7 linked regions of the Rattus norvegicus genome follow. The protein of the gene in region 3 interacts with the protein of the main gene of each other region in a pairwise test. Links are inferred from orthologs where the notes say so. Each region holds a gene or a part of one and is shown on either strand. Other genes may lie near its edges.

Region 1 (4,264 bases), on a different chromosome or scaffold from region 3:
TCCTGTTGGGGTCTCTGGCAGGTGGCTGCCAGGCCCGATGGGCCGGTGAGGGCCCACAGCCATGCTGGAGCAGGCAGGGAGTGGAGCCCTGGGCCCGCCCCTGCCCTTGAGGACTTGCTGCACTCTTTCTGCCCATTCTTGAGGTATCCACCAGGAGCGCTCTGGAGTAGTCAGAGTAGTCTGTTAGGCAAACACTCTTGGGAGTGCTCAGGGAGGGACTACAGTCACTCAGGGAGATCTGGCTGCTCCAGCAGCCTCAGAGGTAAGCTTCAGGAGGAATGTGTGTGCTGCTTGGCTTAGGTGAACTCAGAACACTGGGGGAGGGGACATGGGACGTGTGTGTAGCCTGGTGGGCTGGCTCCAGCAGTGGTCAAAGCGTGCCTTCTGTCACAAGGGAACAGGCGTGAGCTGGAGATGGCAAATGAGGGTCCTGGGGCCTCACCACCTGCTGCTTAGCCATGTCGCTCTGAGCAAATCACAAGACTGCTAGGAACACAAAGTGTAGTCTTGAATGTTAGAGCTTCCTACAGTTAGGGGCTCTGTGTCAGGATTGAGAGCCTTTCAGTAGGGAGGTCTTCATGACTGGTTAGGGACCACTTCTCAGCTCCCTTCAAAGATAGGAGATTTTGATAGGCAGTACTAGACTATATATGTAGGTACAATGCTTACTGAGTCAATGAATTCCTACGAATGACACATACAAACTAAATCCTCCAGCCCAAAGGACTTTCTAACCTGGAGATGAGAGGATTTGTCCTGTGGGAGGTTGAAAACCTGGTGCTGCCCCTTAAAGGACAAGGGCCCTCACGTCCTCTGTTCAGGAAGCATTTTATTGTGCTCCAAAGACAAGCGCTCACACAGGTGACAGTCTCTCAGAGCAGATCCCGCATGGCCTTGCTGAGCTTCTGAATCTTGCTCTTTGCAGACATATCAACGTATTTCTCTCCAATTCGGACAATCATCCCACCCATGATTGATGGGTCAGTCTAGGAAAGAAAACAGGCCGCACACATGAAACACAGCGCAGATGAGAACATCCCGGGGTAGGCAGGCCACCCACCACACAAATGGGAACTACACCTGAGTCAGAACCATTGTGTGTAAGCCCTGCCCTGGCACTAACACACTCCACAATTATGCAAACCCACCTTGACCTCCAGGTTCAGTATCTGGCCTTTACTCAGGAAGCTATTCAGCACTGTCTTTAACTCAGAGAGAACAGCTTCATCTAAAGGCTGAAAAAGAAGCAACAATCCTTTAAGCAGAGCACTACAGCAGCAAACACAGTCAAAGGAGAGAGAAATACCACAGTGGGTATGAAACCAAGACAGGCCAGTGACTCCTGACTGACCTGTGTGCACATGTGTATGCATGCATGCACGAATGTGTGAGTGTGTGCTTGAGTGTTTTGGGGTGGGGGTGGGGGCCTGGGGAATGGCCACACCACAATGCATGCTCTAATGCACAGGTTTTAGGCAGAGGGCTTGGCCACACAAGCTCCCCACCCCCCCAACTGAACTACAACCTGGATGAGGCCAGGGGCTGTACACTACTACTCATGTGTTGCATCAAACACCTTTCCTGTTCTGGTTGACCTATGTCATGGGGAGAACAATAAAATGACTTGTCGCAGGGCATATAATGCATAAAGAGTATGGGCCTCTGAGAGGAGAGCCTGTGTTCAGATCCTGAGCCTGTCTTGTTGAGCTGGGCTTCCTGACTGTAAAATAAGGACAATTACAGTTCAATTGGATGCCTATTTTCTGAGAGCAGTAACACATTACAAGGTCCCCAGCAGATGGCAGCCCTGAAGAACGGTGACTCGTTAACATTTCATTCCAGTGGATCAGAGGGCCTGTGCACCCCAACCCACAGGTAAATGCTCCCATCCCATTTAAGACTTCAGGTTGTAACAGGGCCTAAGTCATTATTTCATAAAACACTCAGACCCCCACGACTAATCACTAATAGGACACACACTGGGTCTTCTGAGTGGAAGTTGACAGAACCTCACGAGGGACCAGCCATGTCCCCAGTGCAGCAGCAAGAGCTGTTACTTACAAATGCTGTGGTCACTGTGCACGGCACTTCTCCACGGTGGACACTCATGATGGTGGAGAAGGCAGAGATGACGCCCTGGGTGTTGCCTAGGCGACCATTTTCAGCAAGTAAATCTGGGAAAGTGACAGGAAACTCACTGAGCCACCGAAAGCAATGACACCTTGTAGCCTGAAAATACCATACTCAGTCCTTTAAGGATATGAATGGGGTCTGGAGAGGCGCTCAGTGGTTATGAGCGCTGTTTTTAAATACCCAACAGGGATTTAGGAAAAGCCCACTGGGACCCCAGCACTCACTCATGAGGTTGGCCGTCAGCGGAGAGAATTTTTCCTTTGTAGTGATGTCCTTCAGGCTTTTCACTTTGATGGAGCGCTTAATGTAGGGATTCAGAACAGCAAGGGACACCTTGGGGTCCTTCAAGAGTTGCTGAAAGCACACACAGTCCCAGCTGACTTCACATGGGACTAAAACCATGTTTTGAGGAACCTCAAAAACACCTTCTGGAGTTTCTTGCATGCATTTTTAAGAAGGATCACGAGAATTAAGCAGCCAAAGTCTCACCATGTATGACACGGCAAGCCCGCTTTCCTCACAGCACCACCCACAAGTACAGAACCCTTGAGCTTCTGTGTCTCAGGAGACCCTAGGTGTGCCCTCCCTCCAACAGAGGTCCTGGAACAAACCTAACATTGAGAGACTGGTCTGAGAGGGCGAAAGTCACAACACCTTGTCAATCCATCTCATCCCCTGCTCTCAGCAGCCGCCCAGGGCTCTAGGACCCGCAGCAGTTCTTCCTGGGTGGGCACCTTCCTGGTAAATGTGTCCTCCTGCTTGTCAGCTACTCCCAGCACCTCAGTGGCTCCTGGCCAGAATTTAGGCCATTGCCATAGAATGCAAAGACTTCCATGCTACGATTTACACTGGAGAGGCTGCACAGTTCGTGTGTCTGCTAGCAAAATCCAGGAGACAGTCAGGGTGACCTCTTTTATCCACACCCCTCCCCACCCTCATAATCTCACTTATGTTCAGAACCTCAGATAACTGTCACCCCTCTTTTTCCTCTATGACAGACTTCTGGATTTTATTAAGCCAAAACCTAAGTCATTGGAAGAGGGAGAGAGGAAAGGGGGGATGGGAAAAGGGGGGGCAGAGAAAGAAAGAAGGGGGGGCAGGGAGGGGTGGGGGTAGGAGGGCACGCACCTGTACCTGTGTGGGTCACAGTGAATGTGTGCAGGACAAACAAGGGGGCCCTACAGCCTTAGACTCGATTTTCTCGTTCCACCATGTGAGTCCCAGAAAATGAACTCCAGCTGTCAGGCTTGGGGGCAAGTATTCTTACCCAATGAGCCATCTTGCCTGCCTCAACCCCATTCTAATGTCCACCGTCTAAATCACCATCTTGATGGTGAACAGGACTTCCTGGCTCAGGGAGAGCAGAACTGACCACACGCAGCCGATAAACAGAGGACACGGTGTTATCCTGTGTGGCCGGGCCTTTTCTCTTCAGTAGATGTGTGGATTACAAAATATACACCATTCTTAAAACATGTAACTGGAAAACCATCTTTTCTCTTAGCGACCGACTTTATTCTCTCTCAACTCTTCCTTTATGGGAGCCCTACAGCCTTAGGGGCAGCTACCCCAGAGGAAATGGAAGGGGTGGCCTCTGACCCGAGTCACACTTGGGTTTCTGCTAATTCACAAGGCTGCTTTTCCTCTTCTGTGTTTCAGGAGAAAATGCAAAGAGGAAATTGCAGCCTGGGCAGCTGCTGTCTCACTTTGCTGGCACCCAACTCCGACTGTGCACCCAGCCATTCTTTCTTCACATCTTGGGACCAAAGTAATTATACAAACCCAGGAAGGGCAAGATGGCCTGAGCTCAAAGGTGCTTGCTACCAAGGCCGCTGGCCTGAGTTTGACCCCTAGAACTCACAGTGTAAAGGGGGAGGACTCTGACCTCTGCACTTGCACTGTGCGTGCCTGACACTCCCCAACTCCCAAGAAAGAAAGAAACGTTTAAAAAAAAAATAATTAAACCCAGGAAAAGTTTCTAAAGAAACGTTCAGGAAGAAAATATAACTTCAGTACCGTGAAGATGGAGTCGAGGACATTTCTCCCACTCTAGGCTTATAAACATTAACTCGGTCTTTAGATTCTTGTCTAAAATGGCGGGTGCTCTTGAGTTACTTTTATTTTCTAGCTG
Region 2 (3,951 bases), on a different chromosome or scaffold from region 3:
GAGGGCGGTAATGGGGGGAGGATGGGGAGGGGAACACCCATTTAGAAGGGGAGGGGGAGAGGTTAGGGAGATGTTGGCCTGGAAACCGGGAAAGGGAATAACATTTGAAATGTAAACAAGAAATACCCAATTTAATAAAGATGCACGTGTGTGTGTGTGTGCATGTGTGTATGTGTATGTATGTGTGTGTATGTGTATGTGTGTATGTGTATGTGTGTGTATGTGTGTGTATGTGTGTGTATGTATGTGAGTGTATGTGTGTGTATGTATGTGAGTGTGTGTGTATGTGTGTGTATGTTTGTGTATGTATGTGAGTGTATGTATGTGAGTGTATGTGTGTGTATGTATGTGAGTGTGTGTGTATGTGTGTGAGTGTGTGTGTATGTGTGTGTGTATATGTGTGCGTGTGTACACGCATGCCATGGTACCCAAGTAGAGGCCAACTAAGAATCTTATTTAGGTCATTAAGCTAATGTGGTCATCTTACTAGCCTTCTTCCTGTCCTTGGGTTTTTTGGTTTTGTTTTGTTTGTCTTTAAAACAGGATTCAGATTGCTTCAGACCTGGGTTCAAATCAACTCCAGAAACTTTCCATGTTATGCAGTTGATTAAAGTTTTCTAAATAGTTAGATTCAGGATTTAGATGCCAGCTCTATCACTTACAAAATGTGGCACGTTATAGTCTGGGACACATTGTTTTCTGCTGAGTAGAGGACCAGGATTGTCTACAGCAGTGACCAGTGGTATTGACCCCTTTGGGAGTCAAATGATCCTTTCCCAGGGGTCGTGTTATCAGATATCCTAAATACCAGACGTTTACACCACAATTCACAACAGTATTAAAGTTACAGTCACGAAGTAGCAACAAAAATAACTTTATGGTTGGGGTCACCACAGCATGAGGAACTGTGTTAAAGAGTCACAGTGTTAGGAAGGGCACGAGGGAACGGGGAGCCAATGAAAGGATATCCAGGAGTGAAGTTGTAAAATGAGATCAAGGATGTGGGGTGGTGACCCTGTACATTGAGCCCACGAAAAGCTGGTTTTTCTCACTGTGTAGCACAGAATGTCCTCAAACCTGGGATCCCCTGCCTCTCAAGTGTTGAGGTTACCGCCCTCACGAGGCCCATGCTCAGTAAATATCTGCTTAATGACGGTGCAGTAGCAAGTAGGAAGTTTGATCAGACACCCTACTAAATTCAGGTACAGATGGGAGCTAGATCTTTTTTTTTTTTTTTTTTTTAAAGATTTATTTATTTCTTATAGATGAGTACACTGTAGCTGTCTTCAGACACACCAGAAGAGGGCATCAGATCCCATTACAGATGGTTGTGAGCCACCATGTGGTTGCTGGGATTTGAACTCAGGACCTCTGGAAGAGCAGTCAGTGCTCTTAACCACTGAGCCATCTCTCCAGCCCCGGGAGCTAGATCTTAAACGGATGTCCCTTCTTGGTGAGCTTTGAGCTAATTAGAAGCCAATTCCCATTTCCACTCAAAGTCTCCACACAGATCTTAGCTCTCACAGTTAGCAATGCTAATACCAGATTAGAACAGCATGAAAAACATTCGGGGGTGGGGGTGTTGTAAAACCCAAGCTGCGTGTGGTAGCATATACCCATAATCCTATAATCCTAGCATCTGAGAGGATGACACTGAAGGGTTGAGATTGGCCATGAGTTCGAAGCTAGCCTAGATCACTAGTTTTAGGCCAGCCCTGGCCTGGGTTAAATATACAAACAAAAACAAGCAAACACACACACAAATAGGCACACAAACACACAACCAAATGGATCTTAAGATACTTTGTGAAAATGGTTTGTTTCTTAGGAATCTGACATCCCAGGCCTGAAATCCAAGACTGGGCCCGTGCACAAGGTACCTACGGACCTGATGCTAGCCATTATGGAGACTGACCCAGGAGGAGGGAAAGAAACTGGCAAACTTACAGCTTCTTCCAGGTGCTGCTGGTCTGGATTATCGTTTGGCGTATGCCTCAGGATTTCTCGAAGGAGCAGAGGGTACTTCACTAGCCGGCTCCGGGGAATATCAAGGAAATTCCAGAGGTCGAGTTTGCGGCTGAAGGGTGATTCTAAGCAGCGCTGGAGGAAATCCTGCACTCTGTGGTCCTGCTTCTTGTGGTCCAGCAGGGCTTTGGCAGCAACTTGATTGCTGCAGTAGCTGTCATAGGAGCTGAGACAAGGCAGCTGGGAAAGAAACATAGAGAAGGCTGCATGTCAATGTCACTGCTGTGAAGGGTCAGGTCAGCATCACTCAGGAATGGACAGACACCAAACCGGTCTCCAGACCCGGCCACCGTCCTTTTATCTGCAAAGGTGGAAGAGACTAGCTGGTAGGATCTTCAAAATGACAGACAAGACACAAAAAGGAACTTTTATTAGTTGTAAATTCACTTTTTAAAGATCCCTATCAGGGGCTGGGGATTTAGCTCAGTGGTAGAGCGCTTACCTAGGAAGCGCAAGGCCCTGGGTTTGGTCCCCAGCTCCGGGGGGGGGGGGGGGGGGGGGGACTAAAGATCCCTATCGAAACTCGTTAGCGTGTTCTGGCAATTTAAACTGTTAACAAAAGAATCAGCGTTGCAGGTCCATACAGAACAGGGTGTGTGCATGTGCTTATGCATGTGTGTACGCATGCTCAGGTTAGTGCTGGGGGTTGAACCCAAGGCCTCATGCACGTTTGATCTTCTTCTACCTCTGAGCTATATGCCAGTCTCAGAATTTTCCTAACCCTTTCTATGTACTCAGTAAGGTAGAAGAAACCACTTATTTTATTTTGCGTGTAGTTTTTGGTGTATTTTTTGGTGTTCATGGGTGTTTGGAGGACGAGAGTCAACCTTGGCTGTCATCACTCGGGTGCCATGCACCCTGTTTTTAAATTTTGTGTGAGTTATATGTGTCTCCATATATGTAAGATGATGATGATGATGGGGAGGGGGGATATATGTGCACAGCACACATGTGGAAACCAGAGGGCAGTCCTAGGAATTAGTCCTCATCTTAGACAGGGTCTCTTTGTTGATTGCTGCTGTTCTGAAATGCCAGGCTCGCTGGTCTGCAACCTTCTGGGGATCCTATCTCTAACTCCCCATCTTACTGTGGAAGCACTAGGATTATGGACACATGAGTCTGTGCCTGGCTTTACATAGATTCTGGGAATTCAAGCCCCAGTCCTCATACTGCTACAAGCACTTTGCCTACTGACCTGTCTCCTAAGCTTCCTTTTAATTTTTAAACATTGATTTAGTTTTAAGATTTTTTTTGTTTTGTCTTTGTGTGTGTTTGTGTATGTGCACGACTTTGTCTTTGTGGACCAGGTGTGTGCAGGTGCCCATCGGCGCCAGAAGAGGGAGTCAGAACTGGGTTAGTTACATGCAGCTGTGAGCCATCCTATGGGCTTCTGGAAACTGAACTGTGGCTCTTTGGTTCAGAGGTTAAGAGCACTGTCTGCTCCTCTGGAGGTCCTGAGTTCAATTCCCAGCAACCATATTGTGGCTCACAACCACCTGTAATGAGATCTAGGGCCCTCTTCTGGCCTGGAGGTGTACATGTAAGCAATAATAAGTAAATCTTTAAAAGAAAAAAAAAGAACTCAAGTCGGGCAAGTGAGGATTGGGGATTTAGTTCAGTGGGTCTGGGGGAAAAGGAGGGGGAGGGGGAAGAGGAGGGGGAGGGGGAGGAACAAGCATGCTTAATGGCTGAGCCATATATCCAGCCCACCTGCTTTTAAGATTCTCTTAAAGAGACTTATCTATAAGACTTGGTGGGTCTTATAGACAGAAATCAAGGGTCAAACTCACAACCCAGGCCTTGTGTGACTCACCACAAACATTTCTACATTTGTTTAAGATTGAATGATTCCAGGGTGGCCCAATTATCAGGGGCCTCAAGAAGTTCAAGCAATAGTATGATTTAAAAAAAAAAAAAACAGTTGTA
Region 3 (3,951 bases):
GCTACCTTTATGTGTGTACAGTATATGTATGTATGTGTTTGTGTGGATATGAGCATGTGCATGTTTGTGTACAAGTGCACATGCACATGTGTGTGAATGTGTGAAGACCAGAGATGGCATCAGGTATCATATTTCATCACTGCCTATCTTAGTTTTGAGATCTGTTCTCTCACTGGACCTAGTTTCCATCAACTGGCTAGGCTGACTGGCCAGCCAATGAGCTCCAGGAATCTGCCAGTCTTTACACCTTCACCCAATGCTGCAGTTACAGATACACACTGCTACAATTTGCCTTTTCACAAGAGTTCTGTATCTGAACTCAAGTTCTCACATGCTTGCACAGCAGTTTTCCAGCCCTCACTATAGCTAATTTAAAAGAAAAACTAAACAAAGACTGAACCTGGGCTTAGAGAGACAGCTACGTCTGGTAAAGTGCTTGGCATGCAAACATGAAGACCTGAGTTCAAACCCAAGAGTCCACTAAGACGCACGAGAGTGCACACTTACAATCCCAGCACTGGGAGGGTGGTGGCAAAGACAGGAGATCCCTAGGGCTCATTGGCAGGGCAGCCTAGACTAATTAGCAAACTCCCAGCAGCCAGCAGTTCTCACGGAGCGATCCTGTCTCATAAAACAAGGTAGACAACTCAGCAGTGCCCCTTGATGCTGACCTCTAGTTTCCACACACAGGAGCACAAATGTGCACACTCAACTGCACACACACTTACACCCACATATAAACACAAACAGAAAACGGAACCCTGAATCTCCTCAAAGTTCTTAGCCAATTTTATCCTCAACATGGATTCCGATTTTCGCATTTCCCTTGCTTGCCGAAGGATTCTTATTCCGTTCACCATTCACCATGAAATACTACTGGTCAACAGGAGCACAGGAGGGTCAGGTACTCACTCAGGTGCAGTTTTAGAGTAAGGGGGAAGGAATGATTGGTCTAACATTCTTATTGTTTTCCTCACCTGTTTTCCAGATCTTTTTGGAGGTTCAGCTTTTCACCCAACAGCACGTCGATCTTGGAATTGGATTTCTCAAGTTGCTTCTGTAACGACTGCAATGTATTTCACAGTAAAATAAGTAACTCTCCTAGGGATTATTTTGCTTTATGAAAAGGTATTTGTCAGTTGCTGGTCTCCATACCGTCAGAAGGCCTTTATAGGTTGGTGAGACGCCCAGGTTTAGATAGTCTTTTCCTTCTGACTGGCTGTCATCCTCCCCACACTGCCTGTGGGAAGACAAACACAGTGCATCTTGTGGAACTCTATCCTTAAAGAGAACTTGCAGCTAGCAAAACTGAAGCCAATTTAGTAAGGGCTGAGTAACTTAAACATGGGAATCCCAAATTCCTACTTGTTGTACAGAGAATAGTACCACATCGCAGCAACTACCTAGTCTTAGAGTAGTCTGTTTACTACTCTTCACTTAGAATGTGTGAGAACCAAAAACTTTGTCATGGGACACAAGGGGGGCATGAAAAATACTTGAATGAACAAGCAAAATACAAATGGAACATTCCCTGGTCTTTTTAAAAACACCCTGTAGAGTGTAAGTGGATACCAATACACAGTACACAGCACACCGCACTTACCCTGTGTCCCAAACCTCTGCGGTTACCGAACATGCCTAAATGTGTTCATTTTCCTGCTGGTATATTCACCTAACTGAAAAATCCTTCATCCCATCCGTCTTTGAGAACTGCCATCTGTGTGCAGAGCCTCCTGCTTCCTTACCGCTCACCACTCTCCCTTTGCCCCCATACACCATCCCTCTGCCTCACAATGACAGTATATACCACTATGCCTTAAGTTTACTTACATAGGCATTAATGTAATCTTCCCACGGGACTATCGCGGCAAGTCTCAAGCCAGCTGGTGATTCACTATGTAGCTTAGGCTGGCTTCAAACTTGTGGCTATCCTCAGTCCTTGGCTATCTCAGCCTACAGAGAGCTCAGATTACAGATGAACTTCCACGCCCAGCTACATGCCTGGATTTTCACTGACATTCTATCTTTAGTATTTAAATGTATATAACTATGTTCTGCTCTGCCCCACAGTCAATGTACTGTATGTGCATATACTTCATGAATGTACTTTTATCCAGTGGATATACCACGATGCTAATACAATATAAGAGGAAATACACTTCTGTTGTTTCATGTAGATACAGTACATTTTAACCTAAACAGTAAAATACTATCTTGCAGACTTTTATTAAAAAGAATTTCAACATGAAGCTATGAGGAAGATGTGGTGAGGAATCCAGAATTTGGGGGGAGGGGGAGAAACAGATGGTAAATATTTTTGAAATACACTGTATACAGATATCGAATTCTCATAGAATAAAAAATAATTATATTTGGAAAAGAACTTTATAATGATATAAAGACTTCCATACCATAAAGTCTCAAAAGCTACAGAAACAATTTATAATAATAAAAATAAATATAAAAAAAATAAAAAATTATATTTATACCTTTGTATATGATGTTTTCTAAGTTTACATTCATAGTAATCAATTAGACAAAGCAATCTAGAAGAAAATATGTTCAATTATTTTCAAAAGGTAGCATTTACTGTACTTTCTAGATAATTTCAAATTACAAAGATAAAAATACAGACTGGGAACAGAGAGATGTCTTAGCAGTTAGGAGAGGGTACAGGTTTGGTTTCTAACTACATAGTGGCTCACATCATCCATGACTCCCGTTCTAAGGGATCCAATGCTTCCCTCTGACTCACAGGTACAGGCTCACACGTGCTACATACACATAGATATAGGCAAAGCACTCATACATGGAAAATTAATTTTAATTTTTTCTTTAAGACTTATTTATGTGTATATGTACAACTTGTGTTAAAGTGCCCGTGGAGGCCAGAAGAAGGCGTTCCATCCCCTGAACCTAGAGTTATAGGAAATTGGGAGCCACCATATGGGTGCTGGGAATAGAACCCACGTTCTCTGCAAGAATAGCAAGTACTCCCAACCTCTGAGCCATCCCGCCAGGCCTAAAAAATAGTTCTCAGCGTACATAGGGTAGTGCAAAACCACCTGTAACTCTAGCCCTGGAGGTTTCCAATGACTCTGGAGACCTGCTCACAAGCACATAAACCTACATACATGAATATACATACACATTACTAAAAATCAAATCTTTGGCAAAGATTGCCTGGAAAACTTAAAATTTTTCAATAATTCTTGCCAGGAACAAGTATTACACTGAGATAGATAGATAGATAGATAGATAGATAGATAGATAGATAGATAGATATCCCTAAATGATATGTTCATACCTAGTTCTACCTAGTCTTTTTTTTTTTGGTTCTTTTTTTCGGAGCTGGGGACCGAACCCAGGGCCTTGTGCTTCCTAGGTAAGCGCTCTACCACTGAGCTAAATCCCCAGCCCCCCTACCTAGTCTTAGAGTGGAGATATATATATATATATGTGTGTGTGTGTGTGTGTGTGTGTATGTGTATTTATCTTCCATTAATATATTATAAGCATGTCTCACTTTATAAATACATATTCTTCCTGTCCTAACATTCCTACCTCTGGCAATCTCCTTCCGTAATAATTGCCTAAAGCTCAGTGGTTAAGGAAACTTGCTTCTCTTACTTGGTACCTGGTTTGATTCCCAGCGCACCATATGAGAACTCGTACATGTCTGGAATTCTAGTCTCAAGGGATCCGACACCTTCTTCTAATTTCTGCATACATACATGTGTATATATGTATGTATATGTAAATACACACACAAACACACATACACACATTCATACATACACTCAGGCATGTGCACAGTCACACATTCATGTGCATGCATGTGTGCCCATGTGCGCGTGCACACACACACATACACCAAACTGATAAACATTGTTTATTCTGGGTTTTCTCTTTTGAGACAGGTTCTCACTATATGGCTTTGGCTGGCCTAGA
Region 4 (4,669 bases), on a different chromosome or scaffold from region 3:
AGTGCTAAGAGCAGAGGTCATGCAGATAGGCACACCCCATCACACAACTACAAACCCCAAGTCAGCTCCAGGCCAGCCCTTCACACTTAAAATACTAACTTTCCCCAGAAATCTGTCTTTTTAACAGAGAAAAGAAATCCAAAGCGGGGCAGTGGTGGTGCTGGGATTGGTGGTGCTCACCTCTAATCCCAGGACTGGGAAGGTAGAGGCAGGCCGGTCTCTTTGAGTTCAAGGCCAGCCTGGTCTACAGAGAGAGTTTCAGGATGGCCAGGGCTATACAGAGAAACCCTGTTACCTTCACCCCCTAACCCCTCCACCCCCAAAAAAGAAAAACAAAAAAAAACAAAAAAAGAAATCTAGGGCTGGAGAGATGGCTCAGCGGTTAAGAGCACCCGACTGCTCTTCCAGAGGTCATGAGTTCAATTCCCAGCAACCACATGGTGGCTCACAACCATCTGTAAAGAGATCCGATGCCCTCTTCTGGTGTATCTGAAGACAGCTACAGTGTACTTATATATAATAAATAAATAAATCTTTAAAAAAAAAAAAAGAAATCTAACCAAAAACAAGGGATGGAAGGAGAGAACTGTCAGAAGGCACTTTATAGTTCCCACCCCTCCCCCCAGGCCCTGCAAACCAGAGATAAGGAAGCAGCAAGCAGTCAACTAGAAACAACTGGAGTATCTCCCCATGCCCCTCCCCCTCAGGCACAACCAGTACTCAAAAAAACCTAAAGCATTTCTTTGTTGCCATGGCACAAAAATGGTCTTCACAGACCATTAGCCAATATTTCAGTGACCAGACTGTCAAGTTGAAGGCCAACAGTCCCCACTGTCATCCTTATTTGGTCAGCAGTCTGTGAGGAATACCAACCATAATGCCCTTTATCATAATGCTAGAGGCTGAGGCAGGAGGATCTAAACCAGTCTAGCTACATTTTGAGAGGTCCTCTGTCAAAATCAAACAAAACAAAAATTACAAAAAGAAACAAATGAAAAACAGGTTACAGCCGGCCTTCACACTCCACCAGACAGTTAAGGTCAGACGGTTAGACGGGGCTACAAGACATCCTATCTCAGACAAAACACAAAACCAACAAAGAAGCTGAAGGGTGGTAGTACACGCTAGTTCACACACTCTGGAGGCACAGCCAGGCAAATCTCTGAGTTCAAAGCCAGCCCAGTGAAAAACCTGTCTCCAGAAAACAAAACAAAACAAAACAAAAACTAGAACCAAGCCCAACAAATATAACAAAATACCTTTTCCCACCCCTCTTTCACGGATATCTCAAAGTCATTCCCCTCCAAAAGATCTCTCATCTCAGACTTCCATAAGACAGTGCCACTAACTACTTTCTGTAACCCGGTAATACTTCCGTTTACTTCTGATTATGTCACACCTGAGGATGGGTCTGTGTTTCTTCCCCAGTCCCATTTCAAGCTCAGGAGAAACACACATCAGAATTCAAAAAAGCCTAAATACTAGCACTAGTGATTTGGTCAGCAGTCCTGACAGTGTAGAGAAACACTACGGGTGAAGAGTGGAGAGATTAATTGTACAGGGGGAAACTGCAGCAGCTCATGTGGTTGTAGGAGACGGAGAGAAAGGTGACATTTACACTTAGGGACTGAGAAACTCTCCCACATCAACTGTTGCCTTCCTTTCAGGCCATACTTTGCCATTTCGCCAGGTCCCCCTTTGAATGAGATCCTAAGAATATTCTGGTCCTTCCCGTGGGTGAGATGGCTAGAAAGTGGAGAACGTCAGTAGTGGCAGTGTCATGAGAGTATAACCTGTTCTCATTTCTTCCCTGCCTGTTCTCCACCCAGGCTTTAAAGTTCAAGAAGGGCGTTTTCTTGAGCACCCCAATTTCCAGGTCATCTCAGTTGCCCTCCTGAGCTCTTGCCTCAAGGAAGCCAGGTGATGACATGATGCCCTACTTGACCCCAGCATGCCTGGCATCTGCTCATTAATCCAGAGCCCTATTAGTTCCCTCCCTGTCCAGAGACGCTCTAAGACTCACTCCTCTGCCACCCAGCTTCAAGCTGACTCATGGGGAAGGACTGCAGGGAGAGGGGACAGGCCAGTATAAGCCAAACCTCGCCCTCTACACTGGGGATGGGCAGCAGCTGGCATTAAACAGCTGTGCCAGACTGTGGCTGCCAAGGACTACAGCTCCCAACATGCCGAGAGCAAGGTCAGCAAAAACAACAAGTCCCAGAATACCATGAGGTCTGTACCCTCAGATACTTGTTAGACTTGGGAGGTGGGAGAGGTTGTGGTACAGGAAGAACACCTAGGCTCATTCTATCCTTCCCTTCAGTTTCAAGACACCCATTTTTACCCTAACGAGGTGGGGGAAGAATTCCTATCCATGTGTTTTCCACTCTTATCCTAGGCAGAGTTCCGCTGCTCACTGCTGTACATTTTGTCCTCATACATGTCTATACACGCTAAGGTGACTGTTCCCAAGACCACTGCTGTGAGTAGAAAGGTCAATCTCTGCTTTTCACCTTCCCTCCCTCTGACTCCTGGCCTAGAGCCCTTCACCCTTAATAGAGAGGGAGCAGACCTCAGGGACCCCTCCAAACTCAGACACGGAGACTCACCTTGGCTCCTGGACTCCTTGTCCTGGACGATTTCCCCCCCACCCCCTGCTCAGCCTCCCAGGTCGGTTCTCATCCCTTCTTCACAGGCTGGGACAGGCCCCATACCGTGCAGAGGTTTTGGAGATCTGATCCTTCCACCTAGTACACACTCACCCCACTCCCAAATTGGCTCCGCCGCGGTGGCCGCTGCTCCGGGCCCTTCCGTCCCGTCCCCGTTCCGATCCCTGTCCCTCCCCTCGGATAACCAGTCCCCCCTACTACGGGCCCCCAACCCAGACAAAGGGTGGCTTAGGCTGAGAGCCTTGCTCTGCTTGGCTCTTCTCTGATCAGCTTCGTGTGCAACACTAGCGGGCTCTGGCGTACGCAGCCCCTCTAGCTGCTGTTGCACCCCTCCCTGCGACGGTCCCTCCCCGGGGCCGCCCCGGCTCCTCGCCGCAGACTCAGCTGCCCCTCTGACTCACAGGCCATTTCCTACCAGCTGATGGGGCCGCCCGCCCCGCCCAGCGCCCAGCCACCCCCAGCACTGCGACCACGGCTGCCACGCCCCCCTCAGACCACACCCTCCAAGGGCAACAACTATGTTCATTGGTCCAGTGGAGGCCAGCCTCTCAGCAACCTCAAGCGTGAGTCACGCCCTCTCCAAGGGGCGCACGCCTATTGGTCCACATAAGGGCAGGCCTACCCAATGTCGCCCCGCCCACCTCCTTAACCCTTTTTTCTGTCCAAGTCCTAAGCAATTCTCTGCCCTGTCATTTAACCTCATTCAGACTTCATCCTCTCAGCGCTCAACAAATCTTTCTCCTCCACACTTCCTGTTCTTAAGTAAATTAATAGGAAGCTCCAGGGCTTTCACAGATACAGTTCAACAATCTCCAACTCATACCAAACACAACCACACATAACCCCAAGCCCATTCATCCCCCCACCCCATCCCGAAATAGAGCTCCAAGAGCGTTGTTGCTATCTAGTAAGCTTTCTACAAAAGCAGGCAAAAAAAGACCTAAAGTCGTACCGTATCTCCATCCATACTGAAAGATGGCATTCGCACCCCCCTCCCTTTTGCCTTTGTTTGGAGACCCCAGGAGGCTCCTGAGATAAAAATACATTTAAATTTCAGGGATTCAGGCCTCATCCGTTGGGCTCAAAACTCTTCACGGATCAGGCTTTGGAGCACTCTTTGCTAACAGACCTCTGCTCCAAGGAAGCAGAGTATCCTCAGCAGTGAGTTAAAAGGCCTTCTGCCCAGAGTCAGTCTGGAGACCAAGTTAGTCTTCATGACTCACAGCTCCCTCGAAACTCACCAAGCTCCCCTTGAGTCACTGGGCCCCAGGCCCAGCCCAGAGCCAGCCAAATTAAGCAGTAGCAGAATAAGCATCCCTAACCTTTGTCCTTAGCTCTGTAAATAATCGGGGTGGAATTTTTGCAAGGCCTGGACATTCATAGACACTTTTTAGAGGGACTGCTCTGGAGATAACCTGAGAAGATGGGTAGCCTTGTCTACCTTGTCCTCTGAACTTATCAGTGGGTCAGACAGGTTGTCACCAACTCAGGCCTTTTCTCAGTCACAGAAATGGAACAAACAGCAGAACCAAAAGAAGTAAAGGCCTGTGCTTTGCCTATGCGATGAGCCCCAAGGACCATTCGTTTATTGCTGCACTGTAAAAAGAGCCCTCCCCTCCCCCTCCCTACTTCCTCTCTGGGTTCTACAAGTAATACAAGCAAACAACAGTCCTCTAGGATTCTTTCTCCTTACCTCTAATGAGTAGGAAACTCTTAAAAAAAATAAAACAAACCAGCTCCCTAAGATTGAATTCCCTGTATGAAGGAGCAGGATTTTAAAGTCTCAAAGCCCTAAACACAAGTGAAGAATCAATATGAGAATGTATTTGCCTCAGCAAAGCTCACTAGGAAGACAGAAAGACAGAATATCTTAGGAATAATTCTCAGCAGCCCTCCTTTGTTCTGTCTAACTATAATTTCAGGCTTTAGTTTTCTACAAAGATCAGAGTGGGAACACTAAAGGAGTCAGGATAAAAAATGTTCCAGGCCTCAGTATGCCC
Region 5 (4,482 bases), on a different chromosome or scaffold from region 3:
TCCATGAGAAGCTCATACACTGGTTAGTCTTAGTTAGGGTTTAACTGCTATGAATAAACACCATGACCAAGGCAAGTCTTATAAAGGACAACATCTAATTGGAGTTGGCTACAGGTTCAGAGGTCCAATCTATTATCAAGGTAGGAACATGGCAGCATCCAGGCAGGCATGGTGCAGGCAGAGTTGAGTTCTATACCTTCATCTGAAGGCTGCTAGTGGAAGACTGAACTCTAGGCAGCTAGGATGAGGGTCTTAAAGCCTACACCCATAGTGACACACCTACTTCAGCAAGGCCACATCTCCTAATAGTGCTACTCCCTGGGGCAAGCATATTCAAATCATAAGAGTTTTTTAACCCCTAAATCTATTAGTAAACATCTTTCTTATCACATATGCAGTTTTTGTACAGAAGACATGTACCAAAATGAATATTGAAACATTTTAAAAGATAAGGCTTGTGATAGCTTGTAAATGCCTTTTCTAGGTAAGGATTTACCCTACAAAGAGAAGGAAGATAAATTATTATTCTATTTGTTTATTTAAGAATATTAAAGCTAGGCCTGTTGACAACCGGCCTACAATCCTAGGTTCTTGGGAGGCTGAGACAGGATTTCATGTCCAGACCCTACCTGACCAGAGTCAGCTCAAGGGTAACTTGAACAACTTACAGAATGCATTCAGGGCTAGCCTGAGCACTTGAGTGAGGCCCTATCTCAAAATAAAAAAGGTTTGAGGAGCATTGGGATCATATCTGCTAGAGTAACTTGGTGGTATGTGTGGCTTCAAAAGAAATTAAAACTTATTGAAAAAAACTAAAAAGCATATAAATTATTTTTTATTTTTAAACATAAACCACAAATTGGACCACAAATCCAATTCCTGTTAATTCAGCCCTCCACTACAGTGAACAAAGACCACAGACCACTACCCTAGTGGAAGGCAAGTCTACTCTTTCCAGCCAGAAACTGTTAGGTGCCCACTGAGAAAGAGGCAGGCAATCAGATGACAAACACAGCAGGCACCTACAGTGGTCTTCATCCTGGATAGTATGAGTAAAGTTCTCAGACTGGCACTTAAAAGATTTGGTCAAAGTGGGTAAAAGACACCAACAAAAAAGGCCTTTTACCAGACTCTTGGTCTGTGGAACAGAGCAAACATCTGCCTAGATGGTTACACTCTGCAGGAGGCAGATGAGAAGGAGGCAGGGCTGGCAGGCATTTCTTCTTCCACTAGTAGTCCCTTATAGGCTACGGTTCTTTCCTGCTCTCTGCAAGTAGAGAGGCCCCAAAGATCCTGGCAAGTAGCCCTCTGTTGGATCGGGCCTGGTCCTGGACTGTGGCCAGCCGAGCTCGTTCCCGCCCTCCTGGCCGTGCTCCTTTCTGGGCCCTCAGCTCCTGCTCAGTGGGACGTTGAGTAAATGTCCAGGAGCTATTTGGTCGAGTAGCATCCCCATCAGCTGCAAGAAAGCGTTGTCCCTGTTCTACGTTTCGAAGATAGAAGTCAGTCTCTCGTTTCGCTTGGGCAACCTCTGCTCTCAGGCGTTGCCTTCGTACCTGGCGCTCAAAGGCAAGGTGTTCACTGAGGTGGGACCAAGTAAAACGATGCAAATACTGTGGGCAGAAAAACAAGAAAAGGTTAAAATAGGGACGATCAGAATGGAGAAGAAACTGGGAGCTTCTTAGACCTAGCAAGAAAGATGGGGTGCCCAGGCTAGAGCTGGAGGTAAGAATGAAAGTGTGACAGAGAAACCTAGAACTCACCTTGAGGTTCCACAGGTCATAACGGAAGGGACTGCGCTTGCGGGCACCCATGGGTGTGTTATGTAGACTAGCTGCCACTCGCTTGGCTATGCGTTTGTCTCGGAACTCCACCCAGCCTTCGGTATAGTCCTTGCTGTATTTAGCTCCCTTCTTTCCTCCTGCAGCCGCGGCTGCCTTCTTTTTTCGTCTCACAAAGGGGTCTGTGAGCCAAACACAATGAACATCCTGGTCAAGCACCCACTGAGACACACCTCAGTTTGGCCATACGTCCAAACCTGCTTGTTTGGGTGCTACTTTACAACCCTTTTCGGGCTGTCTGTAAGGTGTAGCTTCTCCTTTCTTTAACTCATTCCTCCATTTCCAGTCCCTACCTCCATTTCCAAATTGTGTACGTCAAGAGGTGGAAGAGGCTGAAGGAGGTTAATTATACAGTGTCAGGGACTATGTGAAAAATCGAGGAGGGCTAGAGAGATGGCTCAGTGGTTAAGAGCACTGACTGATCTTTCAGAGGTCCTGAGCTCAATTCCCAGCAACCATTTTATAATGGGATCTGATGCCCTCTTCTGGTGTGGCTGAAAACAGCTAGTGTACCCATACAAATAAAATAAATCTTTAAGAAAAGAAATCCGAGGATATCTTTCGGACCTTATTAGCATACTCTATCCACTCACCCTCTCCATTTTCCTTCCCCGCCCCTGCCACCTAAGGGACATGAGCGCTACATACTTAGCAGCTAGTAGGGAGCCAGAGCTTTCCCAGAGCCAGCACCCCACGCCTCATACATGGACAGCTAAGAAAATAAGTCGTATCCTCTGCCCGCAACGCTACCCTCTCCTTTCGACGTAGGGCTTACCCTCGGCCTGGAAGAAAACGCGTCCCACCTCACCGTAGACGCTGAGCAGGTTGCGAACGTGCAGGGGCCGGAATCGCGGCGGGACGTGGCCCAAGTACACAATACCCGGAACTACCTTCTTCTTGCTGCCGTTGCAGGACGCTTCCTCGGCCTCCTCCAGCTCCTCCGCCGCCTCTGCATTCACCTCTTTCTCTTCCTCCATCGCCGCCTTTTGCTCCTCCACCAGCTTTCCTACTTTCACCATGGCAGATATAGGAAGCACGACAGCCGCAAATCTGTCGCCACCTGATGACGCATATCCTGCGGGACAATCTGCGGTCCGGACTAAGTGACGTAAATCTTCGGTGCCCTTCTGGGGCGGGGCGAGACGGGGAGGACTGGGCGGGCCTAACAAACTAGACTCTCGAGAGGGGGTGGAGCTGCAGGAGTGGGTCTTGGTAGACTATCTCGGTCCTGTGCAACTCTGATCTGAGGCAAGCTCTCACGGAATACTTTTAATTTTTAAAAAAATGTGCATGAGTGATTTTTGCCTCCATGCTCCAAGAGCGTGCCCTGGTGCCCCTCGCGTGGTTTTTGCAGAACAGTGTTGGGAGAGTGTGCTGTAGAGACTAAAACACCGTCTACCAGGACTGTGGTGTGAATGTGGTTGAAGGGATAACTCACATGTTAAAAAGTTTTATGAAGTTCAACTTGTAAACTTCAGTCTGAGCTTTGAAGTTTTAATTATTTGAAGTTTCAATCGAATTTTAAACATTTTAAAAATAAAGTTTTTGAAGCAGCTTATAAATTTGCACATAGCTTTTGGAATTTTGATTGGAGTTCCGGTTTTATATTTTTAAACACGCCTCTAGTAATTTTACATTTCACCTTGTGACTATTTAAATCTGCAAATGTATGAGTAAAAAGTTTGTTTGACTACCGTTGTGTTCGAATCTATTGCAAGTTGATGAGCGAAGGTTCTCTGTTCAGCTCACTGACCACGCTTTGAACAGTGCCGAGTGAAGCCTCGGAACAGCCGCCAGGAGGCGCGGTCCTCACTATTGCTGTCCGCTTGCGCGGCTACGATCATGTCTGCCTATCCCGACCTACACCCCAGAGCCCAGCTCCTAATAGTTGCTGATGACGCTCGAACGAAGCTGCTAAAAATGATGTACTAACCTTTCCTTCTACTTTACGGACGGAGCCTGAGTACTTAAGTTTTCCCTCGCCAAGGCCCTACATAATTGTTTATCTTTCATTATCATGAAAATTATAGAGACATAAGACAGGGCAACCGTGTCCGCAGAATCTGGGCGTTATTTGTAAAGCTCGGGTGCGTCTGAGGACCTAATAACTAAACCTTACTTTGGGGACTTTCATTGAACAGGATTTGCTGTTGGTTACCTCTGATCCTTTTATCAAAAGTGAATGTGAAGAGAAAAGACCCCTACTTTTAATTTCTGACTACTTCACCAGCAATGCTGACACGTGAGAGCGCCTTACAGAGTTATTTCAAAACATTGAGAGCTAGAGGAGGGATACAGGTAAAGAAGATACAAGAGTGTGATGGCTAAGTGGCAACACTAGATGCTTTCTTTACTTTGTGTGTGCTTCAAATTATTAATGAAATATTTATACACATTAAATGCCAAGTAAACTGGAAGTAGTGGCAACCCTGTAATCCTCAGCTCTTGGGAGATGGAGAAGAAAGGAAATTCCAGACCAACCTGGGCTACAAGAGAGACCCTTTTACATTTTATTACATATATAAGCATTGAGCGGATCGTGAAGAATCATTGAGTCGTCCAATGAATGAACATGCGAAATAGTTGTGCAAGGCATCTTTTCATCGTTACCCCTTCTTGTGACCCAGTCGTGAAAAGTAACTGC
Region 6 (4,434 bases), on a different chromosome or scaffold from region 3:
ACCCACAGGTTGAGAACTACTGCTCTAGAGTTAGACCTGATAGGGCTAAGGGTTAACAAAGTTATTTACCAGGCAACAGAACCAGTGCCAGACCCGAAGTCCATCAACGTCTGTGGCTGGAACTCTGGGATTCGAGCCTGGATCTGAAGGAGACACAGAATAGCAATCAGGGCTTTAGCGACTATCAGGGAACTGTGACAGAGGAGAGAGATGAACGCACTTGTGAGATTCGCTAAAACATACTCTCGGTTAGGAAACACCTGGGTGATTCTAACCTTTGTTGGGCCGCAGGATTTTTTTTTTCCAAAGGATAAATAGAACCATTAATGTGTCTAAGAACTCCTACCACAGAAGACTAATTTACAGAAAACAAAATCAATGATAAAGGGGGTCAGGTTGGATGCGGAGAGATTTTTTACCTCATGGAATGCCCTGAAAACTGCAGCAAAACCACCGTCCAATCTTGCTGCCATATAGATCAGGCTCAGTTCTTCATTGTAGCTGCCATAATAATAATAATAATAATAATAATAATAATAATAATAATAATAACAACAACAACAACAACAACAACAACAACAACAACAACAACAATAATAATAATGTCAGATTGTCAATCCTCCCTAGGAAATAACCCAGCCCCAGATACCCTCTAAAGTTTATGAAACAAAGTACATGTCAAGGACTCTTCCGGTCAGTCCTTTCACCTTCTAGTACAGAAGATTTCAGACAGTTTTCTCAAACAGAGAGGTGATGGGCTCTTCAGTTCTGCTCAAAACATGTCTTCTTTGTACCCTTCCTGTAAGTCCTTACCTGAGTTCCTGCCAGTGGTAGGTAGTTTTGCGCAGGGCGTGCAGTACCGCCTCACGAAGTTTTTCCTCTGTCTGAGTTGAGTCTGGGGCGAAAAGGACTGGAGGTGAGGACCTCTGAGAATCGCTCAGATCCCATGTGGTGCACACCTCCCTGCCCCAAGAAAATGCTCAAAGTCTGAGAAAGAGGCCAAAACTTCAGGGAAGCGTGGTAAGACTGAGGGCCACCACCGTCAGAGTGTATCCAACAGTATCTGGCCTACGCAGTACCTACCTAATAGTATCCGGACTGCTAAAATACTAGTTTAGCCAACTTAACCCTTCCGAGTTTTGCTTCACAGCAGGCAGAAGCCTGATAAAAATGAAAACATTCTTTATATTCATTTATCGTGTGAGTAGAGGTCTGGTTCGGTTCTCACGTCCACCCACTTGGCAGAGAAGGTCATCGTCAGGTTTGGTGGCGAGTGCTTTTCCACTCTGTATCACCTCTCTTGCCCATGTGGTAAAAATTTAAAAGCTACGATAAGGGCGCCTTTATGGACTTTTCCGCCCCTTATACTTAGGAGTGAGACATCTTCAATTATTACTATAGAAAGAGGCTTGAAAATCCAAGTCTCGTGACTGTGTGGAGATCTGTACCACTGGGCAAAGTACTACAAACACCTACTGTGGTGGTTTGAATGAGAATGGCCCCGATTTGGTCCCCATTGGCTAGTGGATTGGAATACTCGGTCACTAGGGAGTGGCACTATTTGAAAGAATTAGGAGGTGGGCTTTGAGGTTTCAAAAGGCCATGGCAAGGGCAAACCTACAGATCCTGTAGAACTCTCAGTTCCTTCTCCAGCACCACGTCTGCCTGCGTGCTGTCACACCAACAATGGACTAAACCTCTGAAACTGTAAGCCAGCCCCAGTCAAACGCTTTCTTTTTTTTTTCCGGGGCTGGGGACCGAACCCAGGGCCTTGCGCTTCCTAGGTAAGAGCTCTACCACTGAGCTAAATCCCCAGCCCCACGCTTTCTTTTCTAAGAGTTGCCGTGATGGTTCTTCAACAACAGAACACGGGCTGGAGAGATGGCTCAGCGGTTAAGAGCACTGACTCTTCTTCCAGAGGTCCTGAGTTCAAATCTCAGCCACCACATGGTGTCTCACAACCATCTGTAATGGAATCTGGTGCCCTCTTCTGGTGTGTCTGAAGACAGCTTCAGTATACTCATATATAATAAATAAATATTAAAACAAACAAAAAACCAGAACACTAAGACACTACCCTTAACCAAGTACTGTGAGGAGTGCAGGGAGTACAGGGTTAGTAAAGGGCAAATTTGCAATAAGAAGTTCATAGTCTTAAAAATTAATCTGAAATGTAATCATTTTCTATCCCTGAAGTGGGTTTCGCACTTACTGGACAGCCATATGGCCTTTAGTCGCCGGACTCAAAATATAGTGGTAATCTATTTGACTTGCAGAGGTGGGGGAAAAAAAATCAAGAAAATCCAAAGACCTAAACTTCTGACCTTTCCCGAATCTCTTTCCCCAACCTGTGGCTCTATCTGCCTTCTAGGAGGGCATCATTTAGTAGGGCTGTTACTACAGCATCAAATAAGAAACGGCAGCATTCATCTGAGAGATTTAAATTAGTCCTTATTCCTAACTTCTCATTGACATTTCTATCTGGTTTACTTTTAGCCTTAAGCCCCTACCTTGTTTTTCCAGAAATTTCTTCTCAAGATAGGCGGCCCGTCTTTGCAACTCCTCCGGCTCTACTGGTAAATGTCGGCTCCAGAGATAGTTGGTGAGTGCTTGCACCTGCTTCTCTACACTGCGCTTGGGTCTCTCTGCGGTCACAGATAGAAAGAGTCACCGCATCGTGCTGACCTCGTTTTGTTTTCCTGGTTTCCCCTTCCCGCAGTTTCTCACCAAGAAGCAGTAACTGCGCGGCGTCAGTCAGTGCTTGCGGCAGATGTACGTGCGGAAGATGCAGGATGCCCGGATGCTTGCGATGGGGCTTCTTCCCCAGGAAATCGGACCTGTTGTCTACCTGGGACACACCGGGCACAAGGGCAGCGAATGCCTGCAGACAGCGAAAGAAACAGAAAAGTTGCAGGTGCTTGCTGTCCGAGGCATCGCCGAGGTCGCTGCTCCTCCGAGAGATGTCTCTGGAAACCCAGTTCTCCGCCAGCAGAGGAAGATGCACTTACTCGGGACTGGGGTCCTCGAAGGCTGCGGCACGATCTGCAGAACAGCAGCAGAAATCTCGATGCCCTGGCGGTGGCCATGGCTGCAGGACACACCGGAAACGGAAGTCCACGTGCCTGTGACCCTCAGCCCAAGCTGCTAAGAGCATCTTCCGTGGAACTTCGACCCGGACGGTATCTACTAATGAAAAGAGGAGAGTTTTTGCTAGCAGCCAATAAGCAACCTCTATGTACCTCTCTGCGACGGAAGCTGTATGTGGGAGGGGCTTAGTCTCCAGAAGGGGCGTGACCTCAGTGCTGCGCGTATCTTGGAGCCGGGCCAACCGGACTAGGGCTGGAGCGTGTTTTGTGAGGGGTTGGGGAGGGAGCAGTCTCACTGGGGGTGGAGATGGGGTAGAGGGCTGGGGGGTGGTGGTGGTGGCAGGGTGTGAGGGTTGGGAGAGCGGGGGTAGGGCTGGGCCAGGGGTGTGTGGGCTAAGCTGGGCTGGGCGGGGGGGCTGGGCTGGGTTGGGGGGGTCTGGGCTGGGCGGGGGTGGGGACCAGCGGAGCAGTGGCCGACGTAGGGCGGGGGCAAGAGTGAAGCTGAGCGTAGGGTAGGCAGGTGAAAAGCAAAGTGTTGTTGACTTTCTTTGTTTTCGCTTGGTGCTGTAGAATTCTGAGCCTTGGCTAGTTTCCCTTTATGAAACCGGACAATACCAATAACAAAAGTCAGACCAACGGTAATGAGAGCTAGTAATTATTATAGCTTGCAGTTTAATAAATATAAAACTTTTTTTTTACACTTGTTAGCTGTCGTCTGCGAAATTGCTCCAGGTTTTCCGTTAAGAGCTTCCGCATAGTACACCGAATTCCCACAATCCTGTCTCCACAAACCTCTGTTGCCGACTTTATTAATTTTTCCCGTGGTTAATTTACCCAAGTTCATGAACATATTAGGTGACAGCTAGGGAATTGAAAATCCGAGTTAAACCTTTAAACAATGCACCAAATTGGGTAGTGTTGGTCCTTGAAATACAAATGGAGAATTTAATGCTAAATGTTCCGAAGGGTTAACTGATGGCATTAAAAAAAAATGCCTTTTTGTAAATCCTCGGGTCCTGGCAGCAGTGGTTTACCTAGCTGTGGTTTCGTACTTAGCCTCCTGGGGGCAGAAGTCTGCTGACAGGACAAAGAGTAATCTACAGTCTTCAGTCCAAATGGAATAATTACAGGACCACATATGGGCAACTGTATGAGCTGGATACTTAGATGACTGGTTTGCATGTGGGTAGTAGAGGTTTGATTTTATCAAACGAGTCTCTGGAGACTAGCTGGAGTGTGCATGACAGCTGTGGAAAATGTGCTACCTACTGCAGTCTTTTGCAAGTCCCCCTCACCCCCCCCCCCGCCCCCTACCCCCTCATCCCTATCCTTTCCCCTGCCGCACCCC
Region 7 (4,531 bases), about 51 Mb from region 3:
CCTCATCCATGTGATGTTACCTATGAGAGGGTAACTCGATTGCAGCTTTCTTCCTTCACTTTTCAGTGCTTCGTTCTGCTGGTAATTTGAGAATTGGAGTGTCACTTGTTAGGATGCCTTGTTATTATAAATGACCACCACGTTAGCAGCCCCGTGCAGACCATGTGTAAGCTTTGCCACCTGGCCTTCCTGGGTTTTTGTCTCCATTCACCGCCCACCTTCCTCCTCCTTTAGCTCCGGGGGAATCAAGATGCGATTCTGTGACTCCTGTGGGAGATCCGTGGTAAGCCAAGGACACAGCATCCCTAAACCGAAGCCTAGAACTAAGACCTCATGACTTGAGGGTGGGGCTGTGTGGGCGACTTTTCTGAGACCCCTGGGTGGCGCTCTCCACCACACCCCCAACAAACACTGCGCTGGGGCTTTTGAGGGAGGCTCGAGCTCAGAAAAGTACCTCCCCCCCCCCCAATCTCCTGCCCAGTTTCATGTGAAAAGGAAGAGACGGAGCTTTCCGCAGGTAGAGGAAGGACAGATTTTTCTTTGGTTTACGGTTTGGCATCTCAACTACGCCCTTTAAAGTGGGCCAGCCGCCGAGGGAAGAAAGAACTCTGGAGCGGCCTAGCGCTCTTCGTAGCTTCCAGTCGCTCCGGAAGGCTGAGCTGAGCTAGGCGCAGGATCTTCACAACTTTCCATCCAGGTTCTTGGGGCCGGGGGAAAATAAGGGGAGGATGCCTGAGATTGGGAGTGAGAAAGTATTACTACTCGGGCCTTGACATCTCAGTTTGCGACAATCTAGATTGCAAAACCGAGGTGTCACCTCCTACCAGTTCTCTACTGGCCCCTCTGGATTTATCTGGCCAAATCCCGCTAACTCAGACGCTCATCCCCGCGGGCAGGCATGAGAGGCCTGGTTTGGGACTGGGGAAACGACCCATTTAAAACTAGTGTCTAGGGTAAGGAAGGATGCAGTCCGAATCCCGAGGAAAAGTGAAAGGCTAGATGCCACACACTGGTGCAAATAATAGAGAACGGGACAAAACTGCGCTCCTGAGCACCGGAGTTGGGGGAGTTGGGGACGCGGGATAAACCGCATGCCCAGTGGAAATGAAAAACCTGGTGCTAAAGTGGGAACTGTTCCTCCCTCTCATCCTTCTGACCCCTTGGGGGTTGCCAGATCCTCTGCGGCTCCTCTTCCTTGCAACCTTTTGCCCTCTCCACCTAGCCACGGGCAACAGCCGCTGGCGCCGGGGCAGCAGCTAGATGTCAGGAGAAGCCCGGAGCGCCGAGCGCTGGGAAGGGAGGGGAGCGCCCGGGAAGGGAGGGCAGGGCTGGGAGCGCGCACGGGCTCAGCCAGGGCGGGGGTGGGGCGGGGTGGGCGGGCCAGGGCCGGCCAGGGGGAGGGGAGGGGGCAGCTGTGGGCAGGGAGCCGGGCTCGGCCGCCAGCACTAAAGATGGAGAGGCGCCGGGGCCTCGCAGGGGAGGGGGCTCGGCGTTGACGTGGGACGCGGCGGAGGCGCCGCAGCCGGTGGTGATTTGCTAACCTAGCGGCAGAGAGGAGTTAAGGGTGATGAGAGCGGGTACTGCGAACTGCCGGGCGATGCCGCCGCTGCCGCCGTGAGATCCGGAGCAACAGTTCCCCAGCAACACCCCTTCCCCGATCCAGGCACACCCCTAACCCCCCAGGCACGCACACCCACCCCAAGCTCCCGGCTCTGCAAGCGGTAAGTGTATGTGTGTAGGGAACCCGGGAAGGACTCGCACCGCCCAGCGACCGCCTCCCGCCAGGCGCCCTGGGGCGGGAGAGGTTTAGGCGGGTGGCGCTAGCTTTGGCCACTCGGCCGCTGGGCTCGTGCGGGGTTCTCTGGTTGCTGCTGCTGCTTCTGCAGCGATCGCCCGTGCCGGTTGGGGGTCAGCTAGAAAGCGGAGCCGAGGCTGTCAGCTCGGGCGCAGCTGCCTCACCAACCTTCCTCCTCCGGGCACGGTCCGGTCCGGGTGAGAGGTGGCAGGCCGGGAGGTCTGCCAGGGCTGCGGGAGCGTATAGTCGGGGACTGGGTGTCTTTGTACAGGCAAGGGCTGGCGGAGGAGCAGAGAGCCTGTGGGTGCTCATATGTATGCGGACCGGTGCGCTTGGCGTGAGCTAGGATTGTGTCTTATTTATTTGTGTTTATTCGCTGGCGGGCTGGGGAGCTGGAACCGGAGGAAGCGAGGAGTGAACCTGGAGGGCGGGTGGGAGGGGACTGGTACCCGCTCGGGTTTTGTTTTCTTTAGAGAAAACGTGGTGGGATTTTTCTTCTTCTTGATTGGACTTGATGCCCCCTTTTAAGGAGAGAGGGAAGCTTCGGAGAGACTCTGGCGCTCCGGGTCCTCCTCGGCTCTCGGTGGGAACAGCCCGTGGAGCCGGAGCTCGCTGTGCGCTCCCGGCCGCGCACGGTGGGTTCCCGGCTCTGCACCTGATGCATTCGGAATGTCTTTCCCACCCTGGCGCGCTGCAAGCTTGCCCAGCCCCTCGCACGCTCCCGCACGCGCTCGAAATGCGCACGATCCTGGCAGCCTGCGGACCCCACCGGAATGCACAGACGCGCACCGCTGCAACCAGCTCGCCTCCTCCCCGCCACGCTCCCAGCGTGTCTGACTCGGGCACGCCGGCAGCTGGTGCGGGAGGCCGGGGACCCTGCTGGTGGCTTCCCAGGGATCTCGATCCTGGGTGGAAGGTGGAGGACCCAGAGATCTCTTCTCGCTTGGCCTCCCACCACTTGCCTCGGGGCTTTTTGTGCTTCCTTTTCTCCCCCGGGGGGTTGCGCCGTCCGGCCGGCCTAGCAGCGGCGTCCAGCCGGCTCGGACATTCTCCTTTCCCGGGTCTCTTTCGCTTTCCTCCTTTTTTCAGCTCCGATCCCTTTCTTCCAGGCACCTGACTCCCGGGGAAAAGTTGCTTTTCCAAGTTTGCCAAAGTCCTCTGCAAGTCTAGGCGGGGGGTCTCTGGGAACAAGGGGTGTGTTGCGCCATCGATCCTTGGAGCTCTGTGGCGGGTTAGCGCTGGCTTTGCCCAGAGTCGGCTGACCGCTGCACCTAGCGACAGTCGGATCGGGTGCGGAGCTGCGGGTTAGGGAGAGGGCACCTTGATTTCCCTTAAGGCTCAAAAGGCTCCTTTGGAGGAAGATATTTGGCAGAGAACCTTCTTTATTTCGGCTTCTCTCCCTTAGTTCTTGAATCTCTGATCTCTCCCGAAAGCACACCATGTTCAAGAAGCTTTTGACGAATGAATATCTCACCACTGTTGATGCCCTCCGTTTCTACTTTGGGGTGGGCAGTAAGAGTGGCCAGCCAGTACTGTTAACTCTTTCTGCATGAGTTTTGCGTCTAAGGGTCCTTAAGACTCTCGTTGAGGGTGAAGGCATGCTCTATGAAGAGTGCGTGAGAAGCCTAGCTCTCTCCACCCTCTCTCCCCAGGCTGTGTGAAATGTTGGCTGCAGACAGAGGTTGAGACCTTATCCCGTTAGGTCTTTCTGCCCATGTCTCAATGGCTGTTCAAAGTCGAGAGCCTCTCAGTCATCCAGAATACACTCTGGGAGAGGCCTTTGTGTCTCAGCTCTGTCTTCCCTTCCTTCTGGGCTTAACTCACGCCAGAGATGCTGGTGCCAATGTCACTTACAGAACCATATTCAGTGTCAGTTTTTCTCCTTGTCACTGGGCTTGCCAACACCTGGGAGGCATCCAGTCTGGTGTGAACCCTCAAGGCTGTTGGGAACATAGCCTCCTATGATGTTCTCTGCTTTCTCTTCTTAGAGCGTTCTGTCCATTGGTGCCTTGTGGGCCAGAGGTAAAAGAGGGGGTTGTAGCATCTTGTATAATTGTATGTAGATGTGGGTGAGCGAACACACACACACACACACACACACACACACACACACACATCTCTTGGACACATACAGCAACTTTGAGGAACTTGTAGTTAGAAATGACTTAAGCTAGAATGTGATGTGGTAGGGGTGGGGTGGGGGTGTGTGTGGTGGGGTGTGTTTGTCCCAGCCTAAGAAATGGGTCTGCCAATCCTTTGCAGCCCTGACCAGAGTGCAAGGACAAAGGCTGTAGAAGTCACTGATGATGGAGAGGAGATGTGTCTGGGATGACTAGGAGAGGACAACCCCATTGCCTGCAGATAGGAGACCAACCATCATGTTTAGCAGCCAGTGCTGGCAGGCTCTGGTTGTCTCCTAAGGCCGTCTCAGTGAGCGAGAACTAGAAAGCCATTGAGGATGAGGGTTTGCCAATAGGGAGGGGGTGAGCGGTAAGACTGAATGCTTAGGTTGACTAAGGGGAGGGGTTGAAAACTCCTTAATTTTAAGTAAGTTTGTGAGCCTCATGTTGGACACTGGTCTTACACAGGAAGGCTCTGCTCTCAGGCTTAAAGAATGGCTAGGATTCAATGCACTTTATCCAATGCACTGCTTCAGAGCACTGGGGAGGGGGAGGAAGTGTGTGGGGAAGCGTAAACCTTCTTTTTCCTCTCAGCAGCCTGGGCCTGTTGGAAAGG

The links.
Region 1: the proteins of Cep70 (region 3) and Atp5po interact in binary tests that used the Homo sapiens proteins (3 or more experiments, as listed by UniProt). The two-hybrid records come from large-scale screens. The link is inferred for Rattus norvegicus from reciprocal best matches to the Homo sapiens genes CEP70 and ATP5PO.
Region 2: the proteins of Cep70 (region 3) and Arhgef3 interact in binary tests that used the Homo sapiens proteins (3 or more experiments, as listed by UniProt). The link is inferred for Rattus norvegicus from reciprocal best matches to the Homo sapiens genes CEP70 and ARHGEF3.
Region 4: the proteins of Cep70 (region 3) and Atosb interact in binary tests that used the Homo sapiens proteins (3 or more experiments, as listed by UniProt). The link is inferred for Rattus norvegicus from reciprocal best matches to the Homo sapiens genes CEP70 and ATOSB.
Region 5: the proteins of Cep70 (region 3) and Abt1 interact in a two-hybrid assay, tested with the Homo sapiens proteins (2 studies listed by BioGRID and IntAct). The two-hybrid records come from large-scale screens. The link is inferred for Rattus norvegicus from reciprocal best matches to the Homo sapiens genes CEP70 and ABT1.
Region 6: the proteins of Cep70 (region 3) and Mettl17 interact in binary tests that used the Homo sapiens proteins (3 or more experiments, as listed by UniProt). The link is inferred for Rattus norvegicus from reciprocal best matches to the Homo sapiens genes CEP70 and METTL17.
Region 7: the proteins of Cep70 (region 3) and Zbtb16 interact in binary tests that used the Homo sapiens proteins (3 or more experiments, as listed by UniProt). The two-hybrid records come from large-scale screens. The link is inferred for Rattus norvegicus from reciprocal best matches to the Homo sapiens genes CEP70 and ZBTB16.

Annotation. Positions count from the first base shown.
Region 1 is NC_086029.1:44,650,360-44,654,623, forward strand, and holds the end of Atp5po (ATP synthase subunit O, mitochondrial precursor), read right to left. Parts: intron 2,488-4,264; coding exon 2,358-2,487; intron 2,175-2,357; coding exon 2,062-2,174; intron 1,236-2,061; coding exon 1,149-1,235; intron 987-1,148; coding exon 873-986; 3' UTR 812-872; downstream 1-811. UniProt on the Homo sapiens protein: Subunit OSCP, of the mitochondrial membrane ATP synthase complex (F(1)F(0) ATP synthase or Complex V) that produces ATP from ADP in the presence of a proton gradient across the membrane which is generated by electron transport complexes of the respiratory chain.
Region 2 is NC_086034.1:2,574,470-2,578,420, reverse strand, and holds part of Arhgef3 (rho guanine nucleotide exchange factor 3), read right to left. Parts: intron 2,206-3,951; coding exon 1,948-2,205; intron 1-1,947. UniProt on the Homo sapiens protein: Acts as a guanine nucleotide exchange factor (GEF) for RhoA and RhoB GTPases.
Region 3 is NC_086026.1:108,716,959-108,720,909, reverse strand, and holds part of Cep70 (centrosomal protein of 70 kDa), read right to left. Parts: exon of another isoform or gene 3,427-3,951; intron 3,318-3,426; exon of another isoform or gene 2,547-3,317; coding exon of another isoform or gene 2,490-2,546; exon of another isoform or gene 2,203-2,489; intron 1,241-2,202; coding exon 1,156-1,240; intron 1,067-1,155; coding exon 978-1,066; intron 1-977.
Region 4 is NC_086023.1:62,061,574-62,066,242, forward strand, and holds the start of Atosb (atos homolog protein B), read right to left. Parts: upstream 3,041-4,669; 5' UTR 2,763-3,040; intron 2,750-2,762; exon of another isoform or gene 2,610-2,749; intron 314-2,609; exon of another isoform or gene 1-313. UniProt on the Homo sapiens protein: Transcription regulator that may syncronize transcriptional and translational programs.
Region 5 is NC_086035.1:42,125,613-42,130,094, reverse strand, and holds Abt1 (activator of basal transcription 1), read right to left. Parts: upstream 2,909-4,482; 5' UTR 2,858-2,908; coding exon 2,614-2,857; intron 1,961-2,613; coding exon 1,761-1,960; coding exon of another isoform or gene 1,611-1,760; coding exon 1,248-1,610; 3' UTR 814-1,247; downstream 1-813.
Region 6 is NC_086033.1:27,054,581-27,059,014, reverse strand, and holds the start of Mettl17 (methyltransferase like 17), read right to left. Parts: upstream 3,105-4,434; 5' UTR 3,087-3,104; coding exon 3,009-3,086; intron 2,882-3,008; coding exon 2,728-2,881; intron 2,646-2,727; coding exon 2,511-2,645; intron 896-2,510; coding exon 814-895; intron 502-813; coding exon 420-501; intron 144-419; coding exon 70-143; intron 1-69. UniProt on the Homo sapiens protein: Mitochondrial ribosome (mitoribosome) assembly factor. Binds at the interface of the head and body domains of the mitochondrial small ribosomal subunit (mt-SSU), occluding the mRNA channel and preventing compaction of the head domain towards the body.
Region 7 is NC_086026.1:58,070,627-58,075,157, reverse strand, and holds the start of Zbtb16 (zinc finger and BTB domain-containing protein 16), read left to right. Parts: upstream 1-1,650; 5' UTR 1,651-1,721; intron 1,722-1,745; exon of another isoform or gene 1,746-1,992; intron 1,993-2,288; exon of another isoform or gene 2,289-2,430; intron 2,431-4,531. UniProt on the Homo sapiens protein: Acts as a transcriptional repressor. Transcriptional repression may be mediated through recruitment of histone deacetylases to target promoters. May play a role in myeloid maturation and in the development and/or maintenance of other differentiated tissues.